2 linked regions of the Caenorhabditis elegans genome follow. The protein of the gene in region 1 interacts with the protein of each later gene in a pairwise test. Each region holds a gene or a part of one and is shown on either strand. Other genes may lie near its edges.

Region 1 (4,854 bases):
CGTGGCGAGACCTTTTTCACAAACAATTTACAATAGTCCAAAAAATTTCAGCATACTGGAAAACCAGGCCAGATTGAATGCTCCCGAGTTTCGGCGGGGGGTGCGTGTAACTACTCGGTTTGTTTGACAATTTGGAAGAGCTGCGAGAGAGCGAAATAGTGTTGATTTTGGGGAGTGCGCAGAACGGGTGAGCTAGATTTTCGGGTTGGTTGCACGTTTTTTTTCTTGCTCGGTTGTGCATGAGACGCGCGCGAGCAAGGGTCGACCTGAGTTTTTGACACGTCACAGTTATAGATACCATGCATTTAAAAAATAATTAACAATCGAATCTCAAATTTCATGTATTTTAACAAATAAATAGCCAAAGTATTTTAACAGAACAAATGAAAAAAACAAAAAAAATTCGGTGCCTCATGCTGGAATCGAACCAGCGACCTTCTGTTTACTAGACAGACGCTCTGCCACTGAGCCAATGAGGCGCTGGGTGAAAGGGGGAAAAAGGTCGAAGAAGAGACTTATGTCGCTGCCGCTGCCGGCGTCGCACGAAGACTATACTTTCGGCGGTCGTAAAATTGCCGGCACACGCCAACCATAATTGTCGTACGAGATACTTGAACGAAGAATGTGACGTCGGCGTCTGGAATCATTGATTTTTTGATTTTTTTGAAATTTTTTCAGATTTTTAGAGACACTAACGATTTAGGCTAACTCTCGCAGTCGGAGCCAGCGCACAAACGGCGTCATCGACCATTTGGAGCACGGAATTCTTCGCCACAGAATCGTTATTTCTCGCTTTAAATTCCACGGAATACGTGGGAAGTTTGCCAGTGCCGTCTGCCTTCAATGTGTCGGAGATTACCTGAAAAATTACTTTTTTTTATTTTATTAATTAATTTAATTAAATAAAAGCACCTTCATCAAAACTTCATTCATTTTTGAAAGATCCACAGCTAAAGTATGCTCCACCGGGTAAACTCGTTGCAAAAACCTGCAACGCGGAGCTTTTTGCGTCAGCTCGACCATTTTTTCGGCTAAAAGTTGAATATTCGCGTTTTTCACGCTCACAAAAATGCAATTCTTCACTCCCGTCGGTCTTTGAATGCATCTTCTCTCTTTTTTCACGAAATTTCCCGGCTTCGGCTGCCTCTGATCATCACAAGCCTTTTTCAACGCATCGGCAATGTCTTCATCGGAATCTTCAGCTTCTGCTGGATTTCCGGGTGCTTCTGAGCCTTGTGGAGCAGCTTCTGGTGCTTTAAGAGAGATTCCATTCGCCGGGTCTTCGAGAAGCTCGTCAATAATACTGTAGGCTTCTTGTAGGGCCTGCTTTTCGTGGCCTTCGCAGGAAAAGAATAGTCCGGTCACTCCGGCTTCCACAGATTTTTGTTTAACTCTGAAATTGTCTTAGAATAGTTTTTTTTTCTCAAATTTTAGCTCTCACTTTTGATTCCATCGGTTATGCTTTCGTTTTCTGTCGTTATCTGCCATTTTCAGTGATTTTTTCTGGAAAAATTGAAATTTTTGAATGAAAATTATTGTTTTTGAAGTTTTTTAACGAAAAATCAACGAAAAATGCGAAAAAAACACATAAAAACAATTAAAAACAAAAAAAAACAATTAATATTCCCTCCAACTTCTCTAAATCTCTTCTCTCTTGCACGTAACCACAGAGCGCGTTTGCACACCTTTAATTGCAGAGTCACCACCACTTTATGTGAAACAAACTACGAAAAAGAGGCGGTTCTTTACAGCGAAACTTGAAAAGAGCAGCCTCACTTGATAATTAGATGAAAAAATTTTGAATATACATTTACTATTTTGACGGAAACGCTGGAATTTGCGAAAATTTCGTGATGGCGTGCAAAATGACCCGCACCTTTTTCCGGTATTCTTCTTCTAGAAAATATATATTTCCTGAAAAAAAAGCTGAAATTCACAATTTTTCGAGCAATTTTTGATGTATAATAAGTATATATCCCGAACAATTTACCAGTTTTTTCCCGATTCACCAGTAAATTTGCTTCACATTTGAACTGAACTATAGGTTATCTCGAGATTTTTATCTATGTACCATGTGTTGCGACATTACGAAAAAAACGAGTTCCGACACAAAGGCCATGCAATTAGGTAGTAAATTGGGTGACTAACTGTGTGACGCGGCTATTATGGGTACGCAGAAAAATCCACGTGGAAACGCGCTCCACTGCCAATAGGAAATTCTCGGCCCCCGCACCATGACCCGCTAGGTGTTTGGCGGCAAAATAGTACATTCGAACGTTTTGGATTAGTTATGCCGATTTCGCCGGTTTCCAAGAATTTTTTGCCATTTTTTTCCTGTTTCAAATTTCCCGTGGTTTTAATGTTTTTAGGCCAAATTGGTGTTTTTAGGCCAAAATGACGAATTTCTGATTACCCTCATAAATTGAAATGGAAGAGTTTGCCAAACTAGGCCATTTTGGCTCGGCCATTACTGGGGTAGATTTACGGCGAGTTGAGTGTCGCGCCGCGGCTCGATTTTAGTTGTAAAACTAAATGCATTTGTCCGTGTGGAGTACACGATTTACCCACGCGTTTTCCTTCGGACGATTATCAATGGAGCGCAAAAAATTCAATGAGGAAGGGTAGAACCCCGTTATTTCGGCAATTTTCCTGTTTTAATGATTTTTAGGCCAAAATCACGGGGTTCTGTCTTTCCTCAGAGAATTTTTCGCGCTCCATTGACAATCGCCCGGCGGACAACGCGTGTTAAAATCGTGTACTCCACACGGACAAATAGACTTAGTTTTACAACTAAAATCGAGCCGCGACGCGACACGCAACGCGCCGTAAATCTACCCCACTTATGGCCGAGCCAAAATGGCCTAGTTTGGCAAACTCTTCCATTTCAATTTATGAGAGGGAAGCCAGAAATCCGTGGTAGCTTACAAAATGAAATTCCAGAAAAAGTAAAATAGTTACCACCTACCGTATTAGAGCTTGACGGCATAGTTGGCGCCTCCGCGGTAGATCTGTTGAAGGTCCACATGTTTTTTTTTCGTGGTGTGTGTCGCCTGTCAGTCTGGTATTCTAGATGCCAGCTTCTTCCTCTCTCGATTCACTTCCCGCCCCCTGATTTTTTTGTGTGTGTCTGCGCCCCCACAGTGTCTCTCTCAACCTGTCTTGTACGTCCTGCGTCTTTTGTTACAGCTTCTGGTATCTTCTGAATATACCACAGCAGGAGGGGGACAGTCAGTTGATTGGCAGACAAAAACATGGCAATTATTTAGTGACAAGCTTTATGATTGTAGGCTTTAGGGTCTGGAGACTTGGGGATAGGACCCTGAACGGGATGTTTTGTTGAGGATGGGCACTTTGACCTCCAGAAAGCGCGGGAAATTATTGAAATTTGTGACGTCATATGAGTTTATAATGAGGCGCCAGTAGGTCAAACGATTTCTGTAGGTCAAGCCCTGAATAATGTCCGTCACAGTCGGCTGGTGCGTTGGAGCACATTTGATTATATTCAGGCCATTTTGACTCGGCCACGGCTGGGGTCGATTTTTGCCGGAATTGAAAATTTTCGGCAAATCGGCAAAATGCCGGAATTTAAAATTTTCGGCAAATTGGCACATTACCGGAAATGAAAATGTCCGGCAAATCAAGAAATCGCCGGAATTGACAATTTAGGACAAACTGGCAAATTTGCCGGAATTTAAAATTTCCGGCAAATCGGCAAATTGCCATAATTGAAAATTTCCTGCACATCGGCAAACTGGCGGAATAGAAAATTTCCGGCAAATCGGGAACTCGCCGGAATTGACAATTTCCGGCAAATCGGGGAGTTGCCGGAATTGAAAATTTCCGGCAAATCGGCAAACTGGCAAATTGCCGGAGTTGAAAATTTCCGGCTAATCGTGAAATTTGCCGGAATTCAAAATTTCCGGCAAATCGGCAAAATGGCAAATTGCCGAATTTGAAACCTTCCTTTGCCGAACTGCAATTTCCGCTCACCGATTTTCAATGGAGCGCGAAAAACCGCTACTAGAAGCCCGTGATGATGATCTACTGTAGATCAATGTGAAATTTTTCCCGCGTCCGGGCATAGAACAAAAATTTTATTTTTTAAAAACCAGCTTCTCTTCCTCCTAAAATTTCCCTTTTTATCGCCCTACCCCTCCCCCTTCAACCCAGATTTCTCTTATCACCCCCCCCCCCCCCCCATCACTAATTTTCTAATTTTCCTTTCACTTTCATACAGTAAGCGGCAAAAAATAATTGCGAAGAAATAATAATTCATTACATATTGAGAATTTCGGGGGACTACTAGATAGAGATAACCGGTGCTGCAGCAGCTCCAATAAGCTTCTTCTCCTCGGCCTTCTTTTTGAGCCAGTCGAGAATGTTCTTGTCACGACGAATCGCCACTGAATCCGTTGTCAGGGACTGAAAGATTAGTTTTTAGTGAAGCCCTAGGTACCTAGGCACAAAAATGCCTGCCTGCTTCCAAGCCGGCCTAGATCTTTTCTCACCTGTGGTAGTACTCCGCGCTTGAAGTTGTTCGAGACAAATGAGGTATACAGACCGGAGAATCCCGAGAAATTGGTGACCAAGTCTGAGGAGAAGCACAGGTACAAAGTGTTGCTCGTCGATGTTATTGGAGCTGGCATATTCTTTCCGGAATAACTGAAAAAATGGTTATTTTATAGTATCCTTGGATTAAGATCAGTGGGGGATATGGTCGGGGTACTGTAGGAGTATTGTAGGATTACTGTAGTTTAGGAACACTTGAGTTTTTGTCTTTTGAAGGGATATTGGTTTAGGGTCAGTGGGGGATATGGTCGGGTACTGTAGAATTTCTGTAGTTTAGGCAAAATT
Region 2 (5,101 bases), on another chromosome or scaffold:
ACCACTCGGAGGACAACTAACCCAGTGGGCACGAATGTATTTCGAACCGGATCAATTGGGCGAAGCAATTTAATTTGATGGATTTATGTTTTGTGAATAAAATGACTGAAAAATGAATTCGTTGGATTGAATTGTGTACAATTTTCGTTCAAAACAATACCTTTCAATTTTTGCGCAAGAATACGTTACATGGTCTCGATACGACAAATTTTCGAGCGTTGAAAAAGTACTGTAATTTCAAAATTTTTTTGCTGCCGAATTTTCATTTATTTTTCATAATATAACATTTCTTCCGATTTGATAAAATTTAACTATTAATAAATAGAAAGTGTTTTTTTAATCGAATGAAAAATTCCGCAGTAACGAAAGTTTGGAATTACAGTCCTCGGTTAAAGGCGCGTACCATTTGCATTTAAGGAAAACCGGGCACAGTTCTTTTAGCTCAACAACCCGCAAAAGTTGCGTATGGTTAATAAAATGAAATTTTTGAAGAACCAACAATTGGTAATTCGATGTTTCTAGATCGCCATGCTTGACTTGTACTCAACTTTTGACCAATTTTTTATTCCCAAAAAACGTTGGTTGGGCTATAGAAAGCATTTCTCTATAGAGGAAATAAATTAATCACAGACGAGAAAGGACTAATCCAGGTTTAAAAAAATATAGGAATTACAATGTAAATGGGTAGAAGGTTGGCAATAATTTAGATATATAATGCATTGTTTTTCATAGGCATGGTAATACAAAGTCACTCAAATAGCATCGCTAGGCGGTTGAGGAAGGACCATATTGTAGAAATGATCTTTGCTCCAGAAGCTCGCTGGTTTCCATGCACACCATCCTTTTGAAGTGATTGTTTTGATATCTTCGGAGCCAGTGTAATGAGGATCAAGAACGAGGAATCTGGAAATTATTGTGTTGCTATACTTCCAATTTGAAAAAAAAAAACTCACTTAGTCTCTCCAGTGGTATCATTGAAATCGACTCCAAGAATAGTATGTGCAAGCATATTTCCTCCGATCATAACAGGAGTTCCAGATGTTTCAAAATGTCGAGCAAGTTCACGAACTCTTTCGACAACTTCTGCGCCCGAGTTGGTAGCGATGAAACGGCATTCTAACTCTGAAATGTTTAACTATTAAATACAATTACTCAACAACTACTTACTGAGTAGCTCATTGAGCACAAAACTGATTTCAGTACTACCAATCCACTGTCGTGAACCAACAAACTTCGCTTGCTTGTCTTGAATATCAACAAGCGCCTGCAACAAATAAAACAACTTCAATTGAAATCTGCTTAAGCCAACCTGCTGAATTTCCCGATGACTTGGCACAGGTTTATCAGTATATCCATTCAAAATGAACCAACTCCAGATAGTTTGGAAACTACGATATGCACATCCCCATCCACTATCATCAATTCCATCTTGCATGTAATGATGATAATTGTACGGCCCATTTACAGTGGTTATTTCACCAACTGGTTGATCTGAAAATTAATTCTGAGTCTTTGCTTGTTTAGACCCAAAATTGCCAAAAACTTCCGCATTTCGTTATGAAACGTTCTGAAAATTTCTCAAAAGAAAAAGTTAATGCGGTTTTTTTTTCAGCTAAAATCTCGAATTTTGACAACTTGATGATTCAAACTTCCGCAATTTCCGGGTCTGTCAAGTTGGCAAAATTTGATGTCTCATTACGAAATTCTGTAGTTTTGGGTCCAACAAAGCAATGCCTCAAATTTCGGTACTCCATTTTTAAACATACAATTTGTTATAGACAAATGTGGCTCTCGAATGAGCTTCTTGTTGGTCAAACGAGCACTCTCTGAGTGGAGAGCCAACGCTTGAGACAATCGAAGAACTGGCTTAGATGATGGCAAGTTGAACAACTTGTGAAGACGAATACGGTAATTTCCTAGAAAATTGAATTTTTATAGAAGTTGAAACGCTTTCTATGAATACTTTGTTCATTGTCCGTCCATTTAGTTGGAAGTTGGAGATGAAGTAGAGAAACCCATCCAGGTGGAAGATAAGTTGCAGATGTGGTCGTTGTTACTCCGCGCTGCAAGATATCAATCGATATAAAAAATATTACATTTCAATTTTTACCCCAGCTCTTATTCCATTGACTGTAACCATCATTGTATTGTTAGCTCTTCTATTGAATGCCTCACGTGATCGTTTGTACAAATCCAGTGAAGAATCTCCAAAGAACGCTGGGAAAACTACCTCACCAATTGTGACGAGCCGAGTGAAATGTTTGTTATCTAAATTACGAATTTAATATCTTTATAAAATAACAAAATTCTTTACCCTTGGTAACCTTAACTGTTGGAACCAGCTTTTGATCTTCCGTATCATTAGATGTATCCCTAGTGAGAGATTGCATGGCAGTGAATTCGATAACATCCTGAAATTCCGTCAATCATATTAATTTTAGACAGTATTTCCAAACCTTATATGGTACAGCGCCTTTCGAGAATTTATCAAGATACTTCTGTTGAGCAGCTTCTGGCTTCTGCTCACGGATCACCAACCCGTGTTCAGCGTTTAGATATGTGAAACGAAAAGAAGCCATTGAAAGACGTTCGGCAGCAGATTTGACATCTTCTTGTTCACGACCTGCTCGAAGTGACCACTCGTATCCAACCTGAAACGGACCGTTTTTATTCAATAATTTAAAGATCTTATGGGAACGTACTCTGCTGACACAACTAGCTCCTTCCATAAGAACATGTTCATTGTTGAACATCACATTCATATCCAAAAATTCGCTGATACTTCGATTTTCAAGCATTCGAGATGTCAGCTGAAGGGTGAACTGCCCGCCAGGAAGAATCTGTGATTGTCCATCAATATTCAAGTTTCCAACCAGTTCAATATCTGAATTAAATCTCAGTTTTTAATAATATTATTCCATTAATTACCAGCAGACAGAGAGCTCTCCAAGAATTGTCTGTTCGATTCAGTCAGATCTTCAGCGTAGGCGAATAGCACATGGATAACCTGTTTCCGAGCTTTACGTCCGAAAACGAATCCGCCAATTGTCGTATTAATTTCGTTGGCATTGGATTTGGAGAACGAGCGGAGGTTGGCGTAATTCTTAAAATATTTCGTGTGAAATCTTTTATCTCGCAAGACTGATTTTGGAGTGTTTTCAGATTTTATTTCGTTTTTTTCCGTTTTTCAACTAGTATAGAAAATCGAATAATTTCAGCACTTCTTAAAACTTTCATAGCTCATTTCCACATAAATTACCTGAAACATTGCCTGCGCATCAATAAACCACAATTCATTCACAGGAGGTGGAGGTGTTGATTGTGGAGCCATCTGAGTTGGTCCAATTAGTGAGACAGTTTGAGAATTCGTCATTCTTCTTCTCTTCCAATCACCTTTCAAAAGATAATAATAGTTTATGGATATTACCACGAATCACGAGAGAATAATATTGAAATGTGTCATTTATACGACCAGCGAGCTGAATATGGGGACTTGTAGAAGGGGATTTTGCAATAGAGAGATGAATAATTTAAATTATTTGTGTATTTTACAAAGAAAACGAGAATAAATCAATCGATAAACGGAAGAAGCGGGTGGGACTAATAAATAAATTGCAATTTGTTTGGGCATTTAACAGAAAAGGATAGTTTAGAAAAAAATGGGAGAAGAAAAATTTTGTTTCAATTCTCAACCTATCTACACCCTAGAAATCGTATCACATTACAAGAAAAAGCGATTAAAAGTCCAATAATTAGACATAAACATTTTAGGAAAGAACAAAATAACGATGAAAACGCCTGTAGATCGAATGTAGACGGCTGCTATGCTGTTGTGCCCGCTTCAATCAATGAGTTGTTCTGAAAAGATATACGAGTTAGTGGGTTGGTTGTCATGGGTAACTTGTGCGGAGCAGGTGATACCAGAAAAGCTAATAACGAGAGAAGACGGGAGAAGCACGAAAATGAGATTAGGTTTGCTATTATTTCATTCTTTGAATGGGGAGTTGGTAATTCGCGTAATTTCTCATCCCTGTGGTACGGTTTTTCCTTCTTTTTTTTTGAATAAAAATATTATGTATCTAATTCAATTCCCATAAGATTGTGAGAATACTTCGTTTTTACAACAAATCTAACATGAAATTTCCTCATAATCGTATGAGAATTGAATTAGGTAACATTTTCATTAGAAAAAATAGTGAAACCAGTAAAATTGAGAACTTATCGAAAAAAAACCACCAAAAAACGGTGGAAAACAATGCCACAGGCTTGCAAAACTACGCGCTGCCTCTCTCTGTGCGACCTTGATTTTGCAAAATTCACGTTTAATTTCATCGTTTAATTTCAACATTCCCAAAACTAAATTTTAAACAAAAATTTCCAACCTACCAACGAGACTCTATGAATGTGCTAACACGATTGAAGATAGCACGTCCTCCACGATAAGCCAAATATCCCAAAGATCCCCAGACAACAATACGGACGCCAGTGGAGAAAACCTGGAAATAAAGAAATGAAAGAATTAAAATAACTTCAGATTAATTTACCTTTGTTCCGAGGCTTGGTGGTGGGATGTTCATAAGTGGATCAAAATCAATATTTGTATTCCATTTGTTAACAATTCCTGGAGTATGTCCGATTCCAACGACAGCAACAACTGTCAACGGTTGAAATTGTTGCCCAGTTGTTCCACGAAGCCATTGTGCACGTTTTTCGACTGAGTTCCGGTGTACGAGCATATGCAAAGCATGCGTCATGTAGGCATCACGCTCTTCCACAAAGATTTGGGATAGTTGTGGGAAATCATCAGCCATCTCGGCGAGAAGTTGCTCCAGAAGGTCACGTTGCTTGCATCGTTCCACCTATAATTTTGGAATATTTTTGGAAAAGGTTGAATAATTAAATACCTCTTCTGCAGTTATCTTCTCACGATGTGAAAATGCAACGTGGAAGAAGAAGCGAATTTTTTGCCAGATGGAGAGAGAAGCCAGTGCACGTTGAAGTGTAACTTGAATAGGACGATCACCGAGAACTACACGACAATTCTGAAATAGTTACTTTGTAAATAAAACTTTTTAAATACTCAAACCTCAGTTGCAACTGC

The links. Proteins that work in one complex are often made in the same cells at the same time.
Region 2: the proteins of kel-8 (region 1) and odr-8 interact in a two-hybrid assay, tested with the Caenorhabditis elegans proteins (one study listed by BioGRID).

The regions. Positions count from the first base shown.
Region 1 is NC_003283.11:2,669,635-2,674,488, reverse strand, and holds the start of kel-8 (BTB domain-containing protein), read right to left. Parts: upstream 3,026-4,854; coding exon 2,966-3,025; intron 1,504-2,965; exon of another isoform or gene 1,489-1,503; coding exon of another isoform or gene 1,442-1,488; intron 1,394-1,441; coding exon of another isoform or gene 913-1,393; intron 860-912; coding exon of another isoform or gene 697-859; intron 638-696; coding exon of another isoform or gene 516-637; exon of another isoform or gene 322-515; intron 1-321. Other genes in the region: thum-1 (THUMP domain-containing protein), read right to left, coding at 516-637, 697-859, 913-1,393, 1,442-1,488; W02G9.4 (CUB domain-containing protein), read right to left, coding at 4,303-4,422, 4,509-4,662. UniProt on the Caenorhabditis elegans protein: Substrate-specific adapter of a BCR (BTB-CUL3-RBX1) E3 ubiquitin ligase complex that regulates degradation of glutamate receptors in neurons. The BCR(kel-8) ubiquitin ligase complex mediates ubiquitination and subsequent degradation of rpy-1.
Region 2 is NC_003282.8:6,579,288-6,584,388, forward strand, and holds odr-8 (Ufm1-specific protease), read right to left. Parts: upstream 3,418-5,101; 5' UTR 3,374-3,417; coding exon 3,260-3,373; intron 3,104-3,259; coding exon 2,929-3,103; intron 2,885-2,928; coding exon 2,703-2,884; intron 2,652-2,702; coding exon 2,457-2,651; intron 2,412-2,456; coding exon 2,315-2,411; intron 2,269-2,314; coding exon 2,111-2,268; intron 2,064-2,110; coding exon 1,964-2,063; intron 1,917-1,963; coding exon 1,767-1,916; intron 1,492-1,766; coding exon 1,310-1,491; intron 1,265-1,309; coding exon 1,168-1,264; intron 1,123-1,167; coding exon 954-1,122; intron 904-953; coding exon 753-903; 3' UTR 549-752; downstream 1-548. Other genes in the region: C43G2.3 (uncharacterized protein), read left to right, coding at 1-73; F38A5.2 (TraB domain-containing protein), read right to left, coding at 3,858-3,858, 4,387-4,496, 4,545-4,859, 4,905-5,042, 5,087-5,101. UniProt on the Caenorhabditis elegans protein: Thiol protease which recognizes and hydrolyzes the peptide bond at the C-terminal Gly of ufm-1, a ubiquitin-like modifier protein bound to a number of target proteins.